2 linked regions of the Oreochromis niloticus genome follow. The protein of the gene in region 1 purifies or fractionates together with the protein of each later gene. This does not show direct contact. Links are inferred from orthologs where the notes say so. Each region holds a gene or a part of one and is shown in the gene's direction. Other genes may lie near its edges. The genes, in order: fen1 and rad1.

Region 1 (12,109 bases):
GTGGTGGTGTAATGCTGTGGGAGATACTTTCTTGGCCCACTTTGGCCCCCTTCAGTATTGTGCCCAAGGGTCCTTTGGCAGGCAGACTGAAGCAGCCGGGAATTGCACCTCCAGCCTTCTGTTCTCAGCCAACCCATTATTAAACCACATTAAAGGGACACAGAGACCTGACATTTTGTTTTGTCTTTTGTATTCAAGCAATGCATTATTCACTGTCTTTGCGTCGCTTGCTCACCTAGCAAAGTCATTCTTAAGGACTCTCATGAGGATGATGATGACGAAGCCAAGAAGCAGCACCACCAGCACCAGTGAGTTAATGATGGACAACCAGTGGATCTCCAGTGTTTTGGGGAAGAACGAGTAGTCTCTGAGACGCTCAGCTCTCCGGGAATAGGGCAGAGATGATTCAAACCAGTGCACGCTGTAGGTATGGGTCACCGTCAGGCTGCCTCCGCCTACTCCGACACCCCCCACTGCTGCACCTGCCCCCTCCTCTAAGGGAACAGGCTTAACGTCTTTTACTGAGACATTGGCAAAGATCACAGAGTCGCCGTTGTACTCGATGTTGAAATCCAGATGCGTCCACAAACCCACCTGATAGAACAGAAAAGAGGCAGGAGGAGTTTAGAAGTAAGAGGAATGATGCTTCATTTGGTTTATCAAGAGCTTAGCATATCAATAAAACATTTCCATAATTTCTACCTTGTGGCTGTGAGGCAGGAAACCACTCTCCTCTATGTATCCTACAAAACCCCAAATTGGAATATCGTCCAGGACAAATTCAAAGTAGTACAGCTCCTCAATGGCCTCACGAAGCTCGTCCACCTACCAAGGAAAAAACAAGCACCAACAGTTAACAGATGACATATTTTAAGCAGTAGTTGTTGTCATTGTTTGTTCTAATATGATGGGATCACTGTTTTTTGTCCTTGTCTGTATACATGTTCTAGAAATAGTGTCTCTGTATGTTGCTATTAACTTGTGTGTAACATCAACCTGCCAGAGGGTCTACAGATGGAAATTAGCCTAGGGCTATAATCTGGCACATTTACATTTGTTAAAATGTTCATTAAAATGTATTGACCCTCTTTTTTTATTAGAAAAAGGTTGTGGCCTCACATAATGAAACAGCTGTGCTAAAGTTGTACAGATGTTTATTATGTGAAACTGCTATTTTACAGACTCCATGGTTCAGCATACAACAAAGTACAGGTGTAACAGCAAATATCAAGAGGGATTAGATCCTGATATGGATACATGTATCCAAGGTAACAAAGGATGAAAGACTTCCATGAAATGCAAAAAACCCAACAGTTTTAGTTTTATCATCTTATCCAGAAAAAGAAAAAATAACTTCACTGCTACAGACCAGCAGATCTAAAAAGGAAATCTGTTTACACATAATTTCTGGCCACTTTGAGAATTGCCTTGATTTCCATTAAACAAGGTCCAGGAAACATTCCTCAGAGATTTTGAGCACAGTCAATGCCATGTTCAAGAAACCAGGTTAAGTTTATTTAAGCTTTGTGACATGGTTTGTTATCCTCCTTGAAGCAGAAGATGGTACACGGTGGTGGTCAGCCAGTTCTGACTCATCAGATCGGGAAACATTTCTCCAGTCTTCTACTGTCCATCTTTGGTGAGCCTGTGTGAACTGTAGCCTCTGCTGTTCTGACAGGTACTGTAGCCCATCCAATCTACTGTCATGTTATGTGTTCAGAGATGCTCTTTTGCATACCTTGGTTGTATTGATTAGCCATCTGAATTTTTGTTGCCTTCCTATCAGCTCAAAGCAGTCTGACCATTCTCCTCTGGCCAGAATATCGACAGGCCATTTTCACCCAGTCCTGCTGCTCACTGGATATTTTCTTTTTCAGACAATCTCACGGTAAACTCGAGAGAAAATCCCAGTAGATCAGCAAATTCTGAAGCACTCGATGGAGCTCACCTGGCACCAACCAACACATTCAAGGTCACATAAATCACCTTTCTTCTGCATTCTGATTCTCGGTTTGAACTGTAGTAGGTCACCCTGACCATGCCTATATACCAAAATGCAATGAATTGCTGACATTTGATTGGCTGATTAGATGTTTGCTTTAACAAGTAGTTGAACAGGTGCACCCATCAAAGTGGCTGGTGAGTAGCTTTACCCATATACAGGTCCGTCTCAAAAAATTAGCATATCGTGATAAAGTTCATTATTTTCTGTAATGTACTGATAAACATTAGACTTCCATATATTTTAGATTCATTACACACAACTGAAGTAGTTCAAGCCTTTCATTGTTTTAATATTGATTATTTTGGCATACAGCTCATGAAAACCCAAAATTCTTATCTCAAAAAATTAGCATATGTCATCCGACCAATAAAAGAAAAGTGTTTTTAATACAAAAAAAGTCAACCTTCAAATAATTATGTTCAGTTATGGACGCAATACTTGGTCCGGAATCCTTTTGCAGAAATGACTGCTTCAATGCGGCGCGGCATGGAGGCAATCAGCCTGTGGTACTGCTGATTTGTTATGGAGGCCCAGGATGCTTCGATAGCGGCCTTAAGCTCATCCAGAGTGTTGGGTCTTGGGTCTCTCAACTTTCTCTTCACAATATCCCACAGATTCTCTATGGGGTTCAGGTCAGGAGAGTTGGCAGGGCAATTGAGCACAGTAATACCATGGTCAGTAAACCATTTACCAGTGGTTTTGGCACTGTGAGCAGGTGCCAGGTCGTGCTGAAAAATGAAATCTTCATCTCCATAAAGCTTTTCAGCAGATGGAAGCATGAAGTGCTCCAAAATCTCCTGATAGCTAGCTGCATTGACCCTGCCCTTGATAAAACACAGTGGACCAACACCAGCAGCTGACATGGCACCCCAGACCATTACTGACTGTGGGTACTTGACTCTGGACTTCAGGCATTTTGGCATTTCCCTCTCCCCAGTCTTCCTCCAGACTCTGGCACCTTGATTTCCGAATGACATGCAAAAGTTGCTTTCATCCGAAAAAAGTACTTTGGACCACTGAGCAACAGTCCAGTGCTGCTTCTCTGTAGCCCAGGTCAGGCGCTTCTGCCGCTGTTTCTGGTTCAAAAGTGGCTTGACCTGGGGAATGCGGCACCTGTAGCCCATATCCTGCACACGCCTGTGCACGGTGGCTCTGGATGTTTCTACTCCAGACTCAGTTCACTGCTTCCGCAGGTCCCCCAAGGTCTGGAATCGGTCCTTCTCCACAATCTTCCTCAGGGTCCGGTCACCTCTTCTCGTTGTGCAGCGTTTTCTGCCACACTTTTTCCTTCCCACAGACTTCCCACTGAGGTGCCTTGATACAGCACTCTGGGAACAGCCTATTCGTTCAGAAATTTCTTTCTGTGTCTTACCCTCTTGTTTGAGGGTGTCAATGATGGCGTTCTGGACAGCAGTCAGGTCGGCAGTCTTACCCATGATTCCGGTTTTGAGTAATGAACCAGGCTGGGAGTTTTTACAAGCCTCAGGAATCTTTTGCAGGTGTTTAGAGTTAATTCGTTGATTCAGATGATTAGGTTAATAGCTCGTTTAGAGAACCTTTTCATGATATGCTAATTTTTTGAGATAGGAATTTTGGGTTTTCATGAGCTGTATGCCAGAATCATCAATATTAAAACAATGGAAGGCTTGGACTACTTCAGTTGTGTGTAATGAATCTAAAATATATGAAAGTCTAATGTTTATCAGTACATTACAGAAAATAATGAACTTTATCACAATATGCAAATTTTTTGAGAAGGACCTGTATTTGATATTTTGGATATTAGTTGGTTGGGTAGATATTTGGCTTTTAAGTTGAGGAGTAGAATAGCATTTTTGTTTCATTTTTACGTGGCTGAAAATCCTCACAGTGGTGCTGGTCAAAGCTTTGAATGTTTGCAGTTTATTACCAACCAGTTTTCTGATGTTAGGCATGTTAACTATTACAAATTTACTCCTGTAAATACCTGTTTTTCTGAAAGAGTGAGCTGGCAGAGAGCTTTTTTCTCCACGTTCTCTCTGAAGCGGATGTAATATAAAGACTCTGCCATTCTGTCACCATCCAGCACTTCTCCCAGGCTCAGAGACTTATGATGCACCTGATGAAAGAAGTATTAGCATTTAATATACAGGATGTTTTTTTTTAAAAAGTGCCAAATTAGGTGATCATAATTCTGAGAGCAGTTATTTCAAAACTGTTAGCTAAATAAAAATCGATACAATGTTAATACAATGTTACTGCTGCCTTTGAAAATGCAGGCTCCACTGCTACCAACACAATCAAACTTCCAATAATGGCTTTTCTCTTAAACCTGCGAGCCATGAAATAAACTATCAACTTAAAGAAAAAGCTTGTGTTTTGGTGAAATGTGTGAATTCTTAACAGCAAATCAGTTACACAAAATTAAAACATTTTTATTACTCTCATGTTTCAGGATGTCATTTTGATCACATTTTTACAAGAAAATGCCATGATCTTTCTATAAAAAAGACACTTCTTTACTCAACATGAATTAATACGCATTTTCAGATTTTGTGGTTGGGAGTAACACTTCACCTCAATATTACACCCTCAAGTAGAAACAAACAGATATGGGATAAAATATAACATAGCAAAGTCTTTTCTTAAAAATATTTTCACAGGAACTGGAGACGTAAGTCCTGAGATTTAGATATTATCATTACACTCTCATCTACATGTCTCCAGTTCTTCTGTTTTGTTACAACAGACCAACACCACGCAGTGACACAGAACTAATACTGACCTTCTCCGGCCTGCAAACAGGCAATGTGTAATAGTGATATGTCTCCTGGGGGTTATGATAAGGGCCCACTTTGTTGACATAAAGAGTCACATTGTCTCCCTGCTTGTAGCCAAGGGCCCAGCCTAAGAACGAGAACAGGATCAAGACAGAGTGCAGCACCATCATCCTCTGACAGCCACCTGACGTGCGTCCTGTTCCACGATGCATGGCCCCTGTTGAAAACACGACAGCTTATCAGTTCAGGTTTATTTTAAGCTAGCCTGTCTCTCACTTTTGTGCACTTCTAATGTGACACGTAATTATCTTAACACGGAGAGGTATAACTGCATAATTTTATGCAACGTCACTCCTGCGCTGTGTTAACAAACACAGCAGAAAATGATGAAACTGGCTCAAACACAGATGCTGTGTAACCACAGTGAATTGCAATGCATTTCATCAGTTTCATCAGCCCAAAAGAGGGTTTGGGATCAAATAAGCACCGTCAGTTTGTCTGTTGGAGTTTATAAGAGCAGAAAATAAGTAACATTGCTCAGAGGGACAGTTTTCATCCAGGTGCAGAGTTTCAGAGTTGCTTTCAATTTCAAAGCATATTAGACAAACATTAGTGTTCATGGTATGCTTAACTTGCATATGAACATGTATTAAGTTTGCGTTGGAATGGTGACGCATGATGATACAATGCCACGGCTCCCCTTTCATTTGCATACTCTACAAAGCACACAAACGTGTTCCCTATCAACTACATTTCCAGAAAAACCACAATCCTCACATTTTTTTATGCAAGTGATAGAAGGAGAACTTTAGAAGGGCGACCTAGAATTATTGCTGATGTGGCATTAGTGTTGAATTTCACAGCAATGCAAATTTGGTCTGAATGGTAAGGTTGCAATGCCTTTGATATAAGCCAGATCACTTTTTGATCGTCCCTTGTGACGAACTAAAGAATAGCATCACAGCTCTATGCACATCTGAACTTTTTACTGATTACAAGACTACATACGAAGCCCACGAAGTATTCAGAAAGACTCAAGCCAAAAGAGTTAAATCAGTTGAATGAATAATAGCAGCAAACACGCAGAAATGCCTCACACAGTGAGATAAGTAATAGTATATACAACAACTGCAGTAAGCAGTAAGAGCAAGGTCGCTACACTACAAGCTGTGTCCTGTTTCTGTGGACAGCAGCATGATTATAATCAAAGGGGGCCTCCTTAATTTAAGTAAAACAAGCGACTCATCCACATCAACGCTGTTTTACTCCAAATAAGCACATGCTCGCTAAAAAAGACTACAACAACGAAATCAGCACAATCGGATCTACCGTTCGTCCGTCCCGATGCTCCAGATCCAACAAAATCTGTCTGTCCGCCGGCTTCTTTGGACTCCAGGCCCCAGCAGGCTGCTCTCTTCTCCGCTACAGTGGAGCTCAGTGTGAAGATTCAGCCTTACAGCCGAGCATCTTGGAAATTCTTGATATCTTGTGTCAACGTAATATCACTACGTTCATATCCGGGTACACTGAGTACTTTTATTCACACATGGGCCAGTGTGGACGAAGAAGAAGAGCTCCGACTCCACGTCACCTTAGAAAATAAAAATAACGACGACTCGGCTGAGTTTTCCGGAGTGGGCGGAGAAACAAGAATACACCTGAAATCTTACCGGTTAATCCCAGCCGGTGACAAATTTAACTCACAAGCAATGTAAAATAAACGTGGAGTATTTACGGTCTTTAACGCCTCTGGAAATTATGAACTAAAAGGTGGGAGTTCGCGGCTTTCGACGGTGTTATTTTTTCCCCCTTTTTCCTATAAACCGGATTTCCTTCAACAGTAAATAACCAATCAGTGCCTTTGCGGGTCTTCCGTGTCGGAACTCAGGGCTGATTAATCAACCTTGCACTATCGATGCACGGTTTTTCGGAGTACCTGGAAGTGAGGCGCTCGGTAGATCGATAGAAAATGCCTGCTATTTGATTTCCCGCGAAACAGTCAGTTCCTCGCGCGCTAGGACGTGGAGCGGCTGCACGAGCTGAGGTGTTTTACTAAATTGGTGAGTCCGTTGTAAATGTTAACAATATATAACCTGCAAGCTAACTTTGATAGTAGATTGCTGCATCCTGTGGCATTTTCATTAAAGTCAGCTGGTACACACTAGTAGATCAAAGCCAGGATACATTTCTGCTCGGCAGTTTGCTTACATGAACTCGTCGATTTAAAGATCATTGTAAATTCACAAACCTGGCACACACATTGCTGAGAGATAACAAATGAGGCGGAGCTCGTCTTTTAATTGACATCAAGCCTCCGTTAAAAAAAAAAAAGAGCTTCATATTTGTAAACAACTTGTACTGTGACCTCTTTGTTTTCTCAAGCTTCTGCAGACCCGACCTGTACCAGTGATAGGGGCCTTTGTGAAATGCAGTGGGGATGGAAATGACACAGCATGTTAACCACAGAGCTTCACTCTCTCTCTCTTTTTTTCTCAGATTTTCTGACACAATGGGAATACACGGACTTGCCAAGCTAATTGCTGACCAGGCCCCTGGTGCCATTAAAGAGCAAGACATAAAGAACTACTTTGGTAACTGTTCCAGATTACACTCCTTATACATCAGTGATGCATGAGTTTCAGTCTACCCTCAATTTGTTGCAACATACAGTATGTAGTATGCATGATGGAATGCTAACTCTTTATGTCATTGTTGAATGAGCACCTCTTTTCACCTTCTGTAGGCAGGAAAATTGCTATTGATGCCTCTATGTGCATCTACCAGTTTCTGATCGCTGTGCGACAAGATGGTAACGTTCTGCAGAATGAAGATGGAGAGACAACAAGGTACTGCTGCAACAATAAACATTTAAAATTGAATAAGAAGACCTAATTGTAGATCCTTCATAGATGCAGTAGTTCCTCTGTTTAACCTCAGTGATTTGTAACTTAGGTCTGAACACACAGGAATGATTTTTGCCTTTACTCCTTTCTTCAAGCCACTTAATGGGAATGTTCTACCGCACCATTCGCATGTTGGAACATGGAATCAAACCTGTGTATGTGTTTGACGGCAAGCCCCCACAGCTCAAGTCAGCAGAGGTGAGTAAGGATTTCCTCTGGCCCTCACCCATCTGCAAATGGAAACATTTGTACTGACAGCTCTCTCTTATTCTGCTTGTGTCTTCATCTTCCAGCTTGAGAAAAGAGGGGAGAGGAGAGCCGAAGCTGAGAAGATGCTTGCCCAGGCCCAAGAAATTGGTAAAGACTTTTCTGGGGGGGGGGGGGGGGTTGTTGGAAGTTGCTAGTTTTTAAACCACACTTGGACTCAGACTATATCACAAGTATTATAGGAAAGTCTGTGAACATGTTTTACTTTGGGCATGAAAGTCTAATTGGATGTTTTTCTCTCTCAAACCAGGGGAGCAAGAGAACATTGACAAGTTCACTAAGCGTCTGGTTAAAGTCACGAAGCAGCATAATGATGAGTGTAAGAAGCTCCTGACCCTGATGGGAGTGCCTTACATTGAGGTGAGATTTCTATTTCTACACATTCTTGTGGCATCAAGAATATTTGCACAGTTATTACACAGTTTGGAGACATCCCTCCCATGAATGATTTGTGTTTTAGTGTTCCTACAATGTTACAGGCTTCTTATCCTCTTACCCTTACCAAGTTACAGTTATACAGTCCAGCTGGGGTCATTCACACAGAAAGACAGAAATGTAATTAAATTATGCCTAAAGCTTAAAAATATACATGAATTGGGATTCTGCAGTGCAGTTTGAGGTAGTTGCATTAAGACAGATTGTGTGTACCATTCTGTTAGATGTAATTTAATTTATTTTTTTCATTTCCTTAAAGGCTCCATGTGAAGCTGAGGCCAGCTGTGCTGCTCTGGTTAAAGCAGGGAAGGTGTTTGCCACGGCAACAGAGGATATGGACGGGCTGACCTTTGGGACAAACATCCTTCTCAGACATCTCACGGCCAGTGAAGCAAAGTATGAACCGGCATCACCTTTGACAGAGATATTAGCAGAGTGGAAATGACCTAAAGTTGTTGCCTTAATTCTACATCAGATTTATGTTTGCCATATAAATATATGTGTATATGAGATGGTTCAAATGAATAAGTTCACACTTCCAATTCATAAATTTGAACCAAGTTATGAGGTTTTAGGATTTGGTAGTTTGATAGTCGCCATGCAACATAAATAGTCAACTACAAGCTGTTTATTATTGTTTCAGGAAACTTCCTATTCAAGAGTTCCACTTCAGTCGCATCCTGCAGGACATCGGCCTGACCAATGAACAGGTAAAGTGTTCTTTTCCTGTCTTGAACAAATTTTAGATAAATAAGTTTCTCTTTAAATCTGAAGCACTTCCCGTACTTCTCTCATGATGACACAGCTATCACCTGGTGCATGTCAGCATGCTGTGCTGTTTGTTCAAAGAAATGTGGTGGTACTCTCCTGGCTATCAGATGTTTGTGCTGTGGAGCTTTAAACACAACATTGATCTCAGTCTTTCTTGCTATTTACTCCTTTCTGTACTCCATCCCAGTTCATTGACCTGTGTATTCTGTTGGGCTGTGACTACTGCGGCACTATCAAGGGGATCGGCCCAAAGAGAGCAATCGACCTCATCAAACAGCACGGTAGCATCGAAGAGATTCTAGAGAACATTGATTCCAATGTAAGTTGAAGGTTGCTGTAATCTGTAGTGCAGGTCAGCTGAGCGAGGTGCCGGTTCTGATTCTGTGTGTGTGCGCAATGCTTGTCTTTATGCAGAAGCACCCTGCTCCAGAAGACTGGCTGTACAAAGAAGCCAGGGGTTTGTTTTTGAAGCCAGAAGTGGTGGATTGTTCTACAGTGGAGCTGAAGTGGAACGAGCCGGATGAGGAAGGACTGATCCAATTCATGTGTGAAGAGAAACAGTTCAGGTGAACTAAATATTGACTCATTCTTATCTTCTGCTTTACCTATTTACTTAGTTTGACGGAGATGATCTGTTGTTGCTTTGACTTTGACTACACACACTTTTTTGTTTAATGTTTGACCAATAGGTGGCACTGTTGTCTATGTACATGAAGTGTTTCTGGCATCTTTTGAGTTCGATGGTTGATCATCTGCCTCCATCTAATCCTATCCCTAGTGTCCTCCTGTCACACAAACCCTCTGCATGTCCTCCTTCACTACATCTATGAACCTCCTCTCTGCTTCTCCTCTTTTCCTCCTGCCTGATGCCTCCACTCTTTTAAAAAATAAAAAGATATTTGATCTATAGTGTGTTCGTCTTGCAGGTTTACACATTTTTTCTGTCTGTTAAATATGTGAACAAACATACTCATAGGATAAAGTGAAGCTTTTATTATTTTATTTGTGTATGTGTGTGCAGTGAGGACAGAATCCGTAACGGCTGTAAGAAGATTGTAAAGAGCAGACAGGGCAGCACGCAGGGACGTCTGGACTCTTTCTTCACTGTCACTGGATCTCTGTCGTCCAAGCGAAAGGTACATGTCAGAAAACTGTGGTACTGTGTGTGTGTGTGTGTGTGTGTGTGTGGTTTTTTTTTTCTGTCTAAAATTCTTTCTAGTTCTCTTGTAACTATAAAAAGCAGGCAGAAGTGTTTGACTGACATATTTAATTTAGATCTTGTTATAAAAACAGGAAACTGCTGGTGTAAAGACTGATTTCTTTTCCTAGTCCTGACATTTTCTATACTGTTTTCTTTGTCTTTGTCAGGAACCTGAGATAAAAGGATCAGCAAAGAAAAAGCAGAAAACTGGAGCCACACCAGGCAAATTTAAGAAGGCCAAATAGACTGAATGTATCCATAAATTTATCTGAGACGTTATTGTGATGAGTGATGTTTGGAGTTAAGACTAAAGGAAACTGCTACTGCTACTTTTTTGTAACTTTCTGTTGTATCACCTAACGAAACCTGAGCTAGCTGTATTTTAATGAGTGTTGGACAGTTTTATTTCAAGTGTTGGAAATAAAAAAATGATTTTTTTGTAGAGATCCTCATTTGTTGCCCTTTTACAGTACTGTGCAAAAGTCTAAAGCTTTCCCTCTTATCTTTATATTTTGCTACCAATGAGCAAGCCAATAGTTCTCCAGACTTCCCTAATGTCTTGCAAAGTTTTGCTTTGGACATTAGCTGCTCTTGTTTTTTGTTTTTTTTTGTCCTCTCACTTTCAGTCTACTCCTTATATCCGACCACCAGACAACATGGCAAAGAACTAATCTTAAACTTTACAACAAGGTGAAAAAATGCTATTCTATGGCCATGAGACAAAGAGCTATTAGGCGAAAACCTGGCATATTTCAGCATGGTTCATCCATCGCCTCATCAGATATGGACTCCAGGAGAAAAGGATCAGGTCTGCCAAATTACAGATGGCAATAGGTCTTATGGAGTGATGACACAAAATTTCCAATTTTTGGTTACAGTATTCAGCATAATCCAGCCGTAAGTGTCCATATCTGTAAACATCTGTAAAACATGGTGGAGGCCCTGTTATGGTTTGGTCTATTTTAGCCAGTGGTGTCAGGGATCTTGTTAGAATTGGCAGAATTAATTTTTCAGCATGACAGTGATCCCAAACACACTGCCAGTGCATTAAAACACTACTGGCCAAAAGTTTTAGAACACCCCAATGTTTCTAGTTATTTATTGCGTTTCAGGTCCAATTAATAACTTGAAATGGTACAAAGGTAAGTGGACTGCCAGAGGTGAAAAAGAAAAGGTTATGTAAGGTTAGCCAAAACTGAAAAATAATGTACATTTCAGAGTTATAAAAAGGGCCTTTTCAGGGAACACAAAATGGGTTAACAATTTTAAGCAGTGGAGGTTGATCAAGCCTTGAAAGCTGGTGCTATTAATTCCTACAGGTGTTCCAACTTTTATGGATTACTGACCCCCCCGTCTGCATAAAAGCAGTGTTGGAACACACTGTGGTAGTACCATTCCCTCGTGAACATCAGTTGAACGGTATTGTAAAAATTGCTAAAAAAAAATGTCAAGAAAAAGGCAAATAACAATGGAACACCTAAAAATGTCGATCTTTCCTACAGAGAAATTGCAAAGAAAGTCAAGGTGTCAGTGAGCACAGTTTCCTTAGCATCAATAGGCACTCAGAAACTGGGGCAAACTCAGACCCAAAGCTACATTTGAATCAGAGGACAAGTTTCTGAGACTTAACAGCTTGTGTGATAGATGGCTCACTGGACAACAGCTTAATAGTGGTCATAGTAAGCAAGTCTCAGCTTCAACTGCGAAGAGAAGACTTCGAGCTGCAGGTTTGACAGGACGAGTTGCAGCAAGAAAGCCACTGCTAATA
Region 2 (12,312 bases), on another chromosome or scaffold:
CAACAACTACTGATCAAAGCACTGATCAAACGTTTCTCCCACTAAAGACGCTACATCCAGATAAACAGAATCAACTTTTTGGGATTTCCTTACCTGGATGATTGAGCATGCATCAAGACATGTCTGTTGTAGATTCATCACTCTGGTCTCCAGCCAAAACACCACGCATCTGCTTTTCTGTTGTCACAGTGTTCTAGAAATCATTCTAAGTTTTGTTTGATAAGTTTATATATTTGTTTGTTTAAAATCTTAAAGTCCATAAAGAGGCTAGCAAAAACAATATTAAAGAGCCGTTTCTCCTCCGTACTTAAACACTGTAGAATTCTAGGGCATGTTTGAAGCACTCCCATCTAGTCACGTATGCGCAGTTACATCTGTTTGCTGCAGACGGAACAACCTTTTGTTGACAGGTTTAAATGTTTGTATTTTGGCCAAACTTATAATTGCCAGATTCTGATGCAAAATTATTTTGCATCAGAATATTATTTTTTAAATCATAGAAGCCTTGTAATACTGTAAAACAGATTAATGGGACAGCAGTGCAGAGGCTTCAGAACTTGCCTTACAATTCTCTAGTTTAAAATATTTCTTTAACATTACCGGGACAGTTGTCTGTAATTTCACTGCTGCACAGCAAACAGTGACTGCTGATGATTAATTTGGCAACTTTATTTTTCAAATTGTAAACAAATAAAGTTTAAAACATCGTTCCGTCGCTGCCACAGTGCAACTTAGTTTAACCCAGTAAACTGAAGTGTCCATCAAAGTGAGCAGTCACATTAGGACCCCCGTCCTCCTTTAGGCTCCGCCTTCAGACAGTGAAAGTGCAGTAAGTAGCAGAGAGCTACCCACGAGAGTGTAAAACTGTAGCAGCACGTCCAAAGCAGACACTCTTGTGTGCACGATGGCTTTTTTGCGTGCGCAGCTGCTGAGTTTAATGTGCAGGCGCTTCCCTTTCACTCAGATAAACGGTTGTCAACACAGGTGAAGAACAGAAGAAGAGGCAGAGTTTTCTCAGATTATTAGTAAGATAAACCATTAGTGGTTCATCTTCCTAATACTTTAAGAAATCTCTGTCTGTTCTTCTGCTGTATTGACAACCATTCCTATGAACGGCTTTAGAGTTGGTGGGAACCTGATTAAGTGTGGTGCCAGACTTGACCATCTTTGACATTAATAAATACCCCATACTATTACCCTTAAATGTAACCATGACAACAGCAAACACTTATCCTGACCTACACCTAATTTTACTTTACACCATTTCCTGTTTCGGTGTTAATTTAGCTAGCTGCTGGCTTCAACTACTTATTTATCATGGCACAAAGACAGTGACACTGGCCATCATTCAACTTTCAGAACAAGAGGAAATTGTGCAAAAAGATGTGTATCCACAAACTATCAATTTGAAAGTCTCTTGTTTGATCACGTCTCACCATGTGACTGTTTGCGTCTCAAATAATTAAAGATTTATTCCTTTTGTTTAAAGGCCAAGTGCCTTACACAACTACAGGGCTATAAGCCTTTGAACAAATAACAGAAGTAAAGCCATTAAGGACAGCCAGCCCACTGTTGCAATACTGGAGAAGAATGACACGCATAAAACGCTGCATGAAAGTGCTACATATGTAACCAAACCATTAGAAAAAGCAACAATGTTCCACTTTCTGAACCTGCAAGTGCTCAATGGGTTCAAGTCACATGACTTTCATCATTAAAGGGTGAACATGAGGTTTCTTAAAATGTCAAACAACAGAATTTGTTGAGAAATCTCTGTGTGTCCTTCTGTAGCCGACACAGCACTCCAAGAGCACTAGTTATTATAGATTACCATTCAGTAGTTTGGTTCAATATAGCAGCAACCTGATATTTTAGCTATTTGTGTTTATCTTTTTGAGCAGCAATTAGAGTGTAAGGGCAAATACACACAGGAAGAAACTAACACCAGTTTGTCAACCAGAAATCTCAATGTTCAAATGGACGACTTGAAGTGATAATTACTCATGACCGACCCACTGACAGCAGCAAATTGCTGTATACTTGGACAGGCCTCAACTTTTTGCCTTAATACAGAGGACACTATTTCTCAGTCTTATTTTAGACAAACACTAAGTATGAATGTAAAATGTTACATGTGTCTTCTGTTTCTGTTACTTGGTAGATACTGTAGCTATATTTATTTTATGAATGAAAAACATCACAACATCAGTAGATTAACATGTAACATCAGTCAATCAGTCATGGTCCACCTGAAAGCGCAAACAAGGTGCCTTTCGTTTTCAGTGCTGTTTACAAAGGAACTAAACGTTAACGGTTAACTGGTCTGATCACAGCCAAGCAGATCAGCAGCCCTGTTAGATCGTTGCTCAGGTGCTCAGGTTGCTCAGGATTTAAGATTAAACCTTACAGTTTAATCTTAAATCCTGGGTGTAAATCTTAAAAGGACTTTCTAACTAGAAGGCTTTGTTCCCTTGTGGTGGAGGGAACAAACCATTATTAAAAACATCAGTGCATCTCAGGTCTGCAACCCAGGAAAATTCACTTATGTCAATATGAATGTTTCCTCCACTCTGTTTGCCTTCCTGACTTACTGCTTGTTTTGCCGGTTTTGATATGTGAAGGTTTCATCTGAGTGATTTAAAGTGTCACATTGTGTATAAAAGTTATTTATCGTAAAAGTACAGTAAAGTGGTGTTTAGAAGTCATAGCCTCAATTATTTGACTTAATAAATTACTAATTAAGTAGTTGAAATTAGTAGAGTGATGCCAAGTAAAAGTTATGTGGACACCTCCCCCCACCCCTTTGTGTTGCGAGGTGGGGCAATTGTTTATTGGGCTTGCTATGGAACATCCTAGATATGTCTGATGGGACTAATGTGCTAGTAGGGTAGGATGTCATCGGGGATTGTGGTTGCCATGGATGGGTGTGATTGGTTTGCAACAATGTTAATGTGAGTGTCTTTTTAAACTAACATAAATGCTTGGAGACAAAGTAGGACACTGCAATGACTGTTTGCAGTTTTAATGTGATGGCTGACAGGCGTATTGAATTTCAGGTGTGTGTGCCTGTGTCTAAGGCACACACAATAAAAACAGTGTTCCTTTTTACCTGCTGGTGGGACTGATGAAGGTGAAGGAGATGAGCTGGTTCCAGAAAGGGTCATTCTCCGATATGGACTCTGTGCCCACCAGGGCCTTGAGGCTGGGATTATCGGACAGGTCACTGACCTGACTGGTGTTGGCTCCCATCTTTGCTGACTGTGCTCAGCCAGACTCGCTGCTCTTCACTGCTTTTTCACCAGGCATATGCCAAACCTGGGACAAAGAAAATGCTTTAATCTTTGGAGGCACAGACAATAAACAACTGAGCTTCAAATTAACTACAGAATTAGCAAATTCATTAAGGTTAATGTGAGAATGAATGAGCTTCTGTTTACATTTATACATCTCCTACACTCAGATCTAAATAGGAATAGACAGAGGCCATCCTTGTCGCTTTGGGCTTTAAGAAACAAGGGCACCAGGGGTGCCAGGGATGACTGTGGTTCAATTGGACAGGTTCGATCCCTGGCTACTGCAGGCTGCATGGGGAAGACACTGAACCCAGAGTTGCATTCACTGGAGTGTAAATGTTTGATTAAAAGCACTTAGACATATAAAATGTGCTTGTATGAATATGTGTCCGTGTGTAAAGTTGTGATGACACATGCTGTATAAAGTGCTCTCAGAGCTTAAGCACAAGAGTAAGAGCCAGTTTACATACACTCCTGGTTCTTCATGTTCGTGCATTACAAAAACTGTAAAACAGATCTCACCAACTCAAACACAAACTCATCCTTGAAAGCCAAAGTTCACAGCATCACAGCAGGACGACACACACTGAACCAGGACATGACTTTTGTTTTTTTGTAATGACACACCTTAGACACACAGGTGTAGTCAGCATAAGTGAAGTGGAGTATAGCATTTACAATATTTGCATAGCAGTGCTAAACCATAAAGGACAATTTATCTTTCTCCAGCAAGAGCTAAAATTCCGTTTTCATATTCATTATATTCATTATATTATATTTACTTTAAATGACACTGTTTAAAGAATTGTTTTAAAATCTACTTGCACGACGTTAGCTTGACCATACTGATTTCAAGTGCAGGAAATAGCCTGCCGCTTAGCAGTTTTCATAGTAAACAATATAAACTCAAAGTCCCACATAAGAATGAAATAGGCGCTAATAAATTTCTCATTGAGGAGTGCTTTGGTTTAGTCAGTGGTTAATAACGCATATACAGAGAGCAGCCAGCTGACCGTTCAGCTTACCTGTCATAAACGCTTCTCTCAGCTGTCCGCGGCTCTGCTGACTCCCAGGACCGTTCAGGGGCGACTACTGTTTTTTAAAGTGACCTGAAGTTTAGTCCAGTTGATTTATTAAGTGCGAATGACAAAGGAAAAGGTCTGAAATTGTTTTGTAATTCAGACAGTTAAGTTTACTCTACATACTCCTTTCCTCCATGTTTTCCACGTAGCCACCCTGTGCGTAATGACGACATATGGGCGGTTACTACGTCTTCTTCGTGTGTTCGTCCAGTTGGAAGCTAAATATCAGAACTGCTGCCCTCTATTTTTTTTAACTTCTCTATTTTACATTTTTTAATAACTAGTGTATGCCCATACTATAGCATTGTTTCGGCTGTTCGCAAACGAAATCACTTTCAGCAAAATATATATTAATAAGATAAGATGAAAAAAAAATTGGTGCAATACATGCTGTTTATATGTTTAAAAAAACTTTTATTTTAGGCTATTGCTAGGGGATTTTAAGCATATACATTTCAAATTATGGGGTGTCCTGAGGCATCTCGGAAAATTGACAGCCCGGTCAGCATCATGGTGAACGTGTTTGAATAAGGGGAAGCCAAGTTACACAACAGAACATATGCAGACACAGTAACAAGTCAATAATAGCATTCACTTCACTTGTCAATGGCTTAAATGATGTGGCTGATCAGTGTAGAGTATATTCCAATACTTTAAAGATATTAAATATTATTAACTATATTTTTCCTTTTTGAGCAATGTGTGAAGACAAATGTTTTCCAGTTGCTTCTATGTCTGGAGAAATATGACATAGACATATTATGTCATAAATATGACATAAATATGTCTGTATAATAACATGGAACACTGTTGCTGAACACTGTTACTACCGGCAGTAAACACAAATGTCAGGTCTAAATTATTAGTTTATACTTACTTTCGTGTCAAGTTGCTAACATTCTTTCATATTTATTTTAATTATTTCAAAGTTATATGAACAAAACAGCTTTCTTAACAACTCAAATATGAAGAGAACACATTATTCAAAATGAAGAAAAAGCAACGGAAGCACTTAAGAGGTCTTGTTTATTTTATTCATTATTTATGCTTAAAGTTTAACTTACAAAATCTATATCATTCAATACAATAAACAGATGTATCAATTCATGATTAACAGAAAATATATCAACAAGATGGATGACAAAAATAAAAACAAGCTCCAAATAACAACTGGAAGGTTATAAAATCCAATTAATTCCAAGATGCTTTATAAGTTAATTTATAGTTTCTCTAGAAGAATGAAATATTTACATGGTTTATGAAGCATTGAATATATTTTGAGGTGTCAGTCTGTCTTCTTATCCGTTGCTATAGTAGATCCATTAGCAGTGGCCTCGCCGTTGCTTTCAGGCTGAAAAACATGAGTGAAAATTTTTTTAAAACTTGCAATCAAATAACTATGAAATTTTTACGTTAAAAATGACACAACACAGAGACCCTTTGAGTGGCTCCTATTAGTTTTACTATCATTTTTAGATATATTCGCTCTATATACCAGAGCTGGGAAATATTTCCATAATTATTTTTAAGTTTCTTAATGAAAACATCACAAAAATTATCCATTTACTTACCTTGCAAGTCCCATTACTCTTTTCACTAACTTTTTGGTCATTAGTACTGGTCTCCTGCACTGCCTTTTTGCTCCAGAATATATTAATAATGGGTGAAATAAAAGGATAGAGATAAGGCTCCAGGAACCTCTTGTAGACCCACAAGAGGACAGGAATCACAATACAGGGAATGCACACCATAGCTGTGGTTTAGACAGGGCAGTAAAAATGGAAAAACCTGCAGTAGAGAAAAAAACATTGTGAGTTGTAAAAAAAATACATAGTAAGTTTATGGTTGGTTGTTGAGATATTGCTACAAGGTTCCTGTAGAGTGATTTAATAACATTTCATTAATTTCTTAACATGTATACAATAGTTAAAAAACAAAAACAAACAAACAATTAAACAAACAAACAAAAACGACTAAAACCCCCCCAAATCAAACAACAATCCAACATACACTTTAAAACACGAAAATAAAGCAAAAAAATATATTGGTTGAAATGACAGAAATGTGTACACAATTTGAAAAGTAAAGGAATCTTTCTTTATAAATAGGTTACACAAATTTAAAAAAGAAATTTATGGCATATTTACAACAATTACTGCCTACGTTTATTTTAAACTCTTCTGGTGTATATAAGTTAGAAATGACTGTACTGAGACGTTTATTATTTTGTTTGTTTTATTTATTCTGGCAGCTTGGGTCCTCCACACAGAGCGACCTGTCAGCCATACTGACGTTTACAAGGCTAACCTGAGCTACCTTAGGTAACGATAGAAGGAAGCTTTCTTTCACACGACTACACAAATTACTCTGTTCATGATTTCCGTTGTTGTGTGCTGTAAATTGTTTTTCGATCATTTTTAACTTGACAGTTGACACACTATTGGTTTCATGCTCTCTAAGCTCAAATCAAACAGTGAGCTAAAGCTAGCGTCCTATCACACCCCGGTAGCTATAACGATTATGAAAAACTGTCACCAAAGTTCAAACATAAAAATAAAAAGATTTGAACTGTTACACGAGGAAGACAGAATAAAGACTCTCACCTCTGCCAATCACAAAATGATGTTGTCACGCACTACCGATGGGCAGAGTATGTTTTATGGCGAAATATCTGGAATGTTGCTGACGTAAGACGTACTTTAACTCCAACTTCCGTAGAAGAAGAGCGACAGGCGGAAGTTGTTCACCACCGGGCGCCTTTCTTCAAAAACAATCACAAGAACTGCTGCATAACAGCTTTATAAGAGACACGAAGGTAGTTACAGTTTTTGGGGGGAATATTTTAAATACATTAATGTATAGGAGGATCTAGATAGTACAGATGTAAATTATATTACCGTTAATTTCTGTTTTACGTCACTTTAAACTACAAGCGAGCTACAGAAAAAAAAAAACAAGCTTAGTACTTCAGTAAAAGCAAAGTGACAGTTCGGTGTGTGTGTGTTGTAGAGTCGACACATATCACTTTGGCGTATTAACATTCTGTCCGATTTAGAATATAAATGATACGCCATTCAACAAAGTTTCAACTTCATGCGCATGTGATGTATGATTGGAGCGGCTAATTTGATGTGTTTACCTTTACAGGGAGCTCACAGCGGGTATCTGTGCGCCTTTTTTTCAGCGCTACAATGCCTCTCGCCACTCAGTCGCAGGGTGATGACGAACAGTACGTTTTAGTGGCGAGTTTGGACAATGCTCGCAATCTCTCCAACATCCTGAAAGCAATCACCTTCAAAGATCACGCCATCTTCACAGCTACAACCAATGGCCTTAAGGTCACAGTGGAGGACTCGAAATGTCTGCAGGCCAATGCCTTCATCCAGGTGTGCTTCTCTTGTATTTTGTTAGTGAACATACTTAAATGAGCAGGTATGTTTACGTTGTGTTTAATCCTATAATACTGATACCTTAGTGAAATTGTACTCATGTCCCCCAGGCTGAGATCTTCCAAGAGTTCACCATAAGAGAAGATCTGGTGGCTTTTCAGATCAACCTCACTGTTCTCCTCGATTGCCTCAATATATTTGGTGGAACCACAACACCAGGTAAAATTTATAAAAATAAACTAATAAAAAAAAAACCCCACCTGAGATGTGACTCGGCATGCTTTATATCTGTTTTTTGTGATGTTGCAGGTGTATCAACAGCCTTGCGGATGTGCTACAGGGGGTATGGGTACCCTCTGACGTTGTTCCTGGAGGAAGGTGGTGTAGTGACCGTGTGCAAGATTAACACACAAGAACCAGAAGAACCGATTGACTTTGAGTTCTGCAGCACTAATGTCACGAACAAGGTTAATTTCACTTTTTCTGTTATTAAAACTCGAATATTGAATATACAAAAAAATCAGATGGGAAACGATAAACTAATACAAATGAATCAGTTCAGAAATCACAGTTTCTCTGGTTTCCTTACTTTACAAATCCAATTGGGATAACAGTATCTGCAGGTGTTAGAAAACAGGAAACACAACTCGGTAACAACTGATGTATCCCTGGCTCTTTTGTAGGTGATCTTGCAGTCAGAGAGTTTGAAGGAAGCCTTCTCTGAACTGGACATGACAAGTGAAGTGCTACAGATTACCATGTCCCCCAGCCAACCATACTTCAGGTGTGCTGTCCTTACTGTACTTTTTCTACAGTATTGTGCTGGTTTATGATTACGTTGCTAAAGTTAAAAAAAATAACTGTGTTTAAAATGACTGTAAAGGCCTTTACACACCAAGAGCATTGGGAAAAAAACCTGACGAAATTCATAATTTAATACATAACATATGTAAACACTGAAATGATAAAAACAGAGACTCTGGTTTCAGAGCAACAAGGAGAATTTCGTGGTTTCATTCAGAAGTTGAAGCTGTATCACGACCGCTTACTTACATACATCTTTCCGGATGTCATTGGGGTAGTTTGAATTCTTGTGGGCAGAGTTAGGATCACATCTGAGGGGACAGAGAAGTAATTTCGTAGAACTGATTGTGTGTCTGTATTAAAATTGTATTATTTACTTTTGCTGCATCACCGGTTTTCAGCACCGGTGTGTGTTTTAAACTACAAGCACACTTTTGTTGCCAAATGCAGTGGTCTGATTGGCAGATCTCTTTATTCGCGTTCTGAAAATTGAAAAAAAGTCCGAAAAATATTTTCAATGCACAAAATATTTAAATGAATTCTTTTATGAGTCTGGTGTGTAAAGGTCTTAAAAGAAAAGTCATTGAAGTTATCCACTGGGGAAAGTATTTGGGATTAGACATAATCCACTTCTTGGAAACTAAGTCTTCTTAACGGTAAAGGTGAGGCATGTTTTATGCTGGATTGTATTTATCGGATTGAAGCTAACACTAAATATAATGTATAGCTAAGCTAAAGGTAGGAACAGTGACTTTCTTCAAGGATTTGTTGTAACAAAATAGATCTTTTTCCTGTCATTCATTATCAGTGTGCTGAGGTAGTTTGCAGTGTAACTTTGTCCCCTCTGCATTATTTTTGAAAGTGCTGCTCTTTTTACCTTTCATTTATATTATTATTATTTGATTTGTTGATTTTCTAAGGTTGTCAACATTTGGGAATGCTGGAAATGCTCATTATGATTACTCCAAAGACTCGGACATGATGGAGCTGTTTAAGTGCACCGAGACACAAACGAACAGGTCAGCACACGAACACATGCACAGATTATTTAGACTGTAGAGAACACAAACTACCCATAGGTGGACTGGTAGGACAGGAAGCACCAACACAGCGACTAAAACCAAATGTCATACAAAGTAGTGAATGACTAAAGTGCTCTTTATCTCCTGGCGTCTACCAGTGATCTTTATCTCGCAACTGTCTGTGACTGACATTACTCTCATTTTCAGTTTTGACCCTTTTACATGCCTGTTCACGGATGGCTGCCGGGCAGATAACTCTGATAATAATGAAAAATTTGAAGATGTTGACATGAATGTTTTTATCCAAGTCCAAAAATTAAAAAGTTATAACAAGATATACACATCTTTCCTTTGAGAATTATAAAATTAGTATATCTGTTCAGTCACTGTGTCAAATATACCCTTGGACAACAAAGTTGACGTATATCAGATTCTCCAGCATCAGCTGGGTAATGCCAACAAACTAGACTGTAAATGACCTCCAGCAATGGTGGAAGTCATTTTTAATGAAACATAAGAAATGCTGGAATATATTTATATTAAACTGTTTAGTATTTTATTTTCTTCAAATCTAGTTTGTTTTATTTGATTGTAATTCTGAGCATTTTATGGCTTATGTTTTGGAAAACTAATAATAACCAAAGGGCAGTGATAATATTTTTTATTATTAACAAACTAAGCTTTGAAAATATTGACACTCACTTGTGTACACACACTAATAATGAGTGCCAGTGTGAACTCTGATAAGTATACACTCACCTTGTAGGTGCTCTAGAAATTCCTGGAATTGGAAATACTTCACTCAAGTAGACTCCCATGGTTTGACCTTGTGTTGTATACTTGTGTGCAAACTGTAATTGCCAGCATGGCTTCTAACCAGAGGTCTAACTGGCCACAGGACGTTGCAGCACCTGCATGCAGGTGTTTAGGATTTTAATCATTTCCCCGGTGACCCTTCGTCCCCTTTACATCTCCTTAAAAGCAGACTTGTTATGACTTATGTAATAGAGCTTGTTGACTGGATACATTTGACTTGTAACTGAATAAAAAGCACAGAAAAATAATGACATTTACAACTGCAACTGGATATGCCGACACTAATGAGTCAGCACTCCTGGATCCAGTGTTAAGTGTTTTCTTGGCCTTTCTATCGTATCATGTTAAAAATCTCTGCAAGAGAAATAGTTTAGGCATAGTTTCAGTGTATCCCCGTGTAATGTTTTGCTTGTATTCTGACTGCAAACAGATACAAGATGTCCCTCCTGAAGCCGTCCACCAAAGCCTTGGCTTTGTCCTGTAAAGTCTCCGTCAGGACAGACAACCGGGGCTTCCTCTCTCTGCAGTACCTGGTCAGGAACGACGACGGACAGATCTGCTTCGTAGAATATTACTGCTGTCCCGATGAGGAGGTAGAAGAGAACTGAGAACACCGGATTCAAATCTGACTTGTAATAAGTACCTTAACTACACACCGGAGTCCAGTTTGCCAGAGGAGGCAGGTATGGAGAAAATGCTGGACTTGTAATGGGCACAGTGGTGAAAACAGAAAATGAACTGATTCATCATTTGCCAGATTTGAGAGAAACAGATGTTGTGCTTGTGATTTGCTGGTGTTCTTATGCTCTCTATGATTACGCCACACGTCATAATCGTAGGTCTGTGTGCTGCAGGAGTATACATGTTCGATGTGTGTTCAAGTACTGTATTGATTCCTATGGAGACTCAGCTGTTTTCAGTCATAAGTCTCACAATTTGTGAATGTTACTCCTGAATTTGAGTCTACTTGTTAAATGCAGTTCTCTTTATATTTGCATATCAGAGCTCGTCTTTTGACATATGCCTCCAGATGGTTGCAGCCTGTAAAACAGGACACATTAGACCCAGCTCACTGATCTAAAACAACTAGACAGTGATCTAAAACAACACCTATTCTACCTACTTTGAATAGGTGTGATTTCTCTTAAGCTGTGGACACACTTCCTACAAGTCTATGCTGAAACTATTCCAAAAGCCTTTTATGGAGTATACATCACAGGATACAGAGATCAAGTTGGTATTTTATTTCTGTGACATAGAAAAGAGCTTTTACTCCAACTCAATAAACATTACATCCAAAAAAAACCCTTGTTTATCAGAAAAAGAAGAAGAAGAAAGGAGTTCATAAACTGGGGCAACAAAACACGATGCATATTTGCCCAAGGACTGTTTATAATACTGAACTCGAGTCCTGACTGTGTGGTGACATTCCCATATTTTTACTGAATAATGGCAGCAGTATTCACTCAGCTTATTGCAGTCCATCCAGTTACCTGCGTGCCATCTGCATCCTTTGTCTTTTGAAAGCTTTTTGTTTTTTCTTCACCACTTTCGGCTCGGGTGCTTCCGTCTGAATGTCAGCGGGCTTTTCCTCAGCCGGTGTCAGGAAGACGTCCGCTGTAACGTCACTTTCCAGGTCCTCCTTCGCAGACGTCTTCTTTCCTTTCTGCATCTCCTTCACCATCTGCTTCTCTCGCACTTTGGCTGCCGCTGCCAGTCGCATCTCTCTCCGGTGCTGCAGGAGCATACAGAGAGATGTTCAGTGTAAGAACGTTAATATATCAGGCACATTAATTGTAACTTCAGCTATCGTGCAATGGATTTTTACCATGTTAGGAGAACGGAAGTCTGGGTTTTCATAGAGCGTAGGCCCTCCAAAGCTCCCCTGAAAGATCTTCATGAGGTT

The links.
Region 2: the proteins of fen1 (region 1) and rad1 purify together in Homo sapiens (affinity purification with western blotting; 3 studies listed by BioGRID). This does not show direct contact. The link is inferred for Oreochromis niloticus from reciprocal best matches to the Homo sapiens genes FEN1 and RAD1.

What each region holds. Positions count from the first base shown.
Region 1 is NC_031974.2:24,370,109-24,382,217, forward strand, and holds fen1 (flap endonuclease 1), read left to right. Parts: upstream 1-6,687; 5' UTR 6,688-6,824; intron 6,825-7,260; 5' UTR 7,261-7,273; coding exon 7,274-7,355; intron 7,356-7,507; coding exon 7,508-7,610; intron 7,611-7,762; coding exon 7,763-7,865; intron 7,866-7,960; coding exon 7,961-8,024; intron 8,025-8,184; coding exon 8,185-8,294; intron 8,295-8,628; coding exon 8,629-8,765; intron 8,766-9,012; coding exon 9,013-9,079; intron 9,080-9,327; coding exon 9,328-9,459; intron 9,460-9,554; coding exon 9,555-9,706; intron 9,707-10,161; coding exon 10,162-10,276; intron 10,277-10,508; coding exon 10,509-10,586; 3' UTR 10,587-10,793; downstream 10,794-12,109. Other genes in the region: tm9sf1 (transmembrane 9 superfamily member 1), read right to left, coding at 236-594, 703-825, 3,972-4,103, 4,770-4,976. UniProt on the Homo sapiens protein: Structure-specific nuclease with 5'-flap endonuclease and 5'-3' exonuclease activities involved in DNA replication and repair.
Region 2 is NC_031972.2:18,189,861-18,202,172, reverse strand, and holds rad1 (cell cycle checkpoint protein RAD1), read left to right. Parts: upstream 1-6,169; 5' UTR 6,170-6,696; intron 6,697-6,978; exon of another isoform or gene 6,979-7,190; intron 7,191-7,522; 5' UTR 7,523-7,566; coding exon 7,567-7,761; intron 7,762-7,874; coding exon 7,875-7,983; intron 7,984-8,073; coding exon 8,074-8,231; intron 8,232-8,447; coding exon 8,448-8,548; intron 8,549-9,488; coding exon 9,489-9,587; intron 9,588-10,836; coding exon 10,837-11,014; 3' UTR 11,015-11,771; downstream 11,772-12,312. Other genes in the region: dym (dymeclin), read right to left, coding at 3,110-3,249; c21h18orf32 (UPF0729 protein C18orf32 homolog), read right to left, coding at 5,661-5,726, 5,947-6,126; bxdc2 (ribosome biogenesis protein BRX1 homolog), read right to left, coding at 11,896-12,141, 12,235-12,312. UniProt on the Homo sapiens protein: Component of the 9-1-1 cell-cycle checkpoint response complex that plays a major role in DNA repair. The 9-1-1 complex is recruited to DNA lesion upon damage by the RAD17-replication factor C (RFC) clamp loader complex.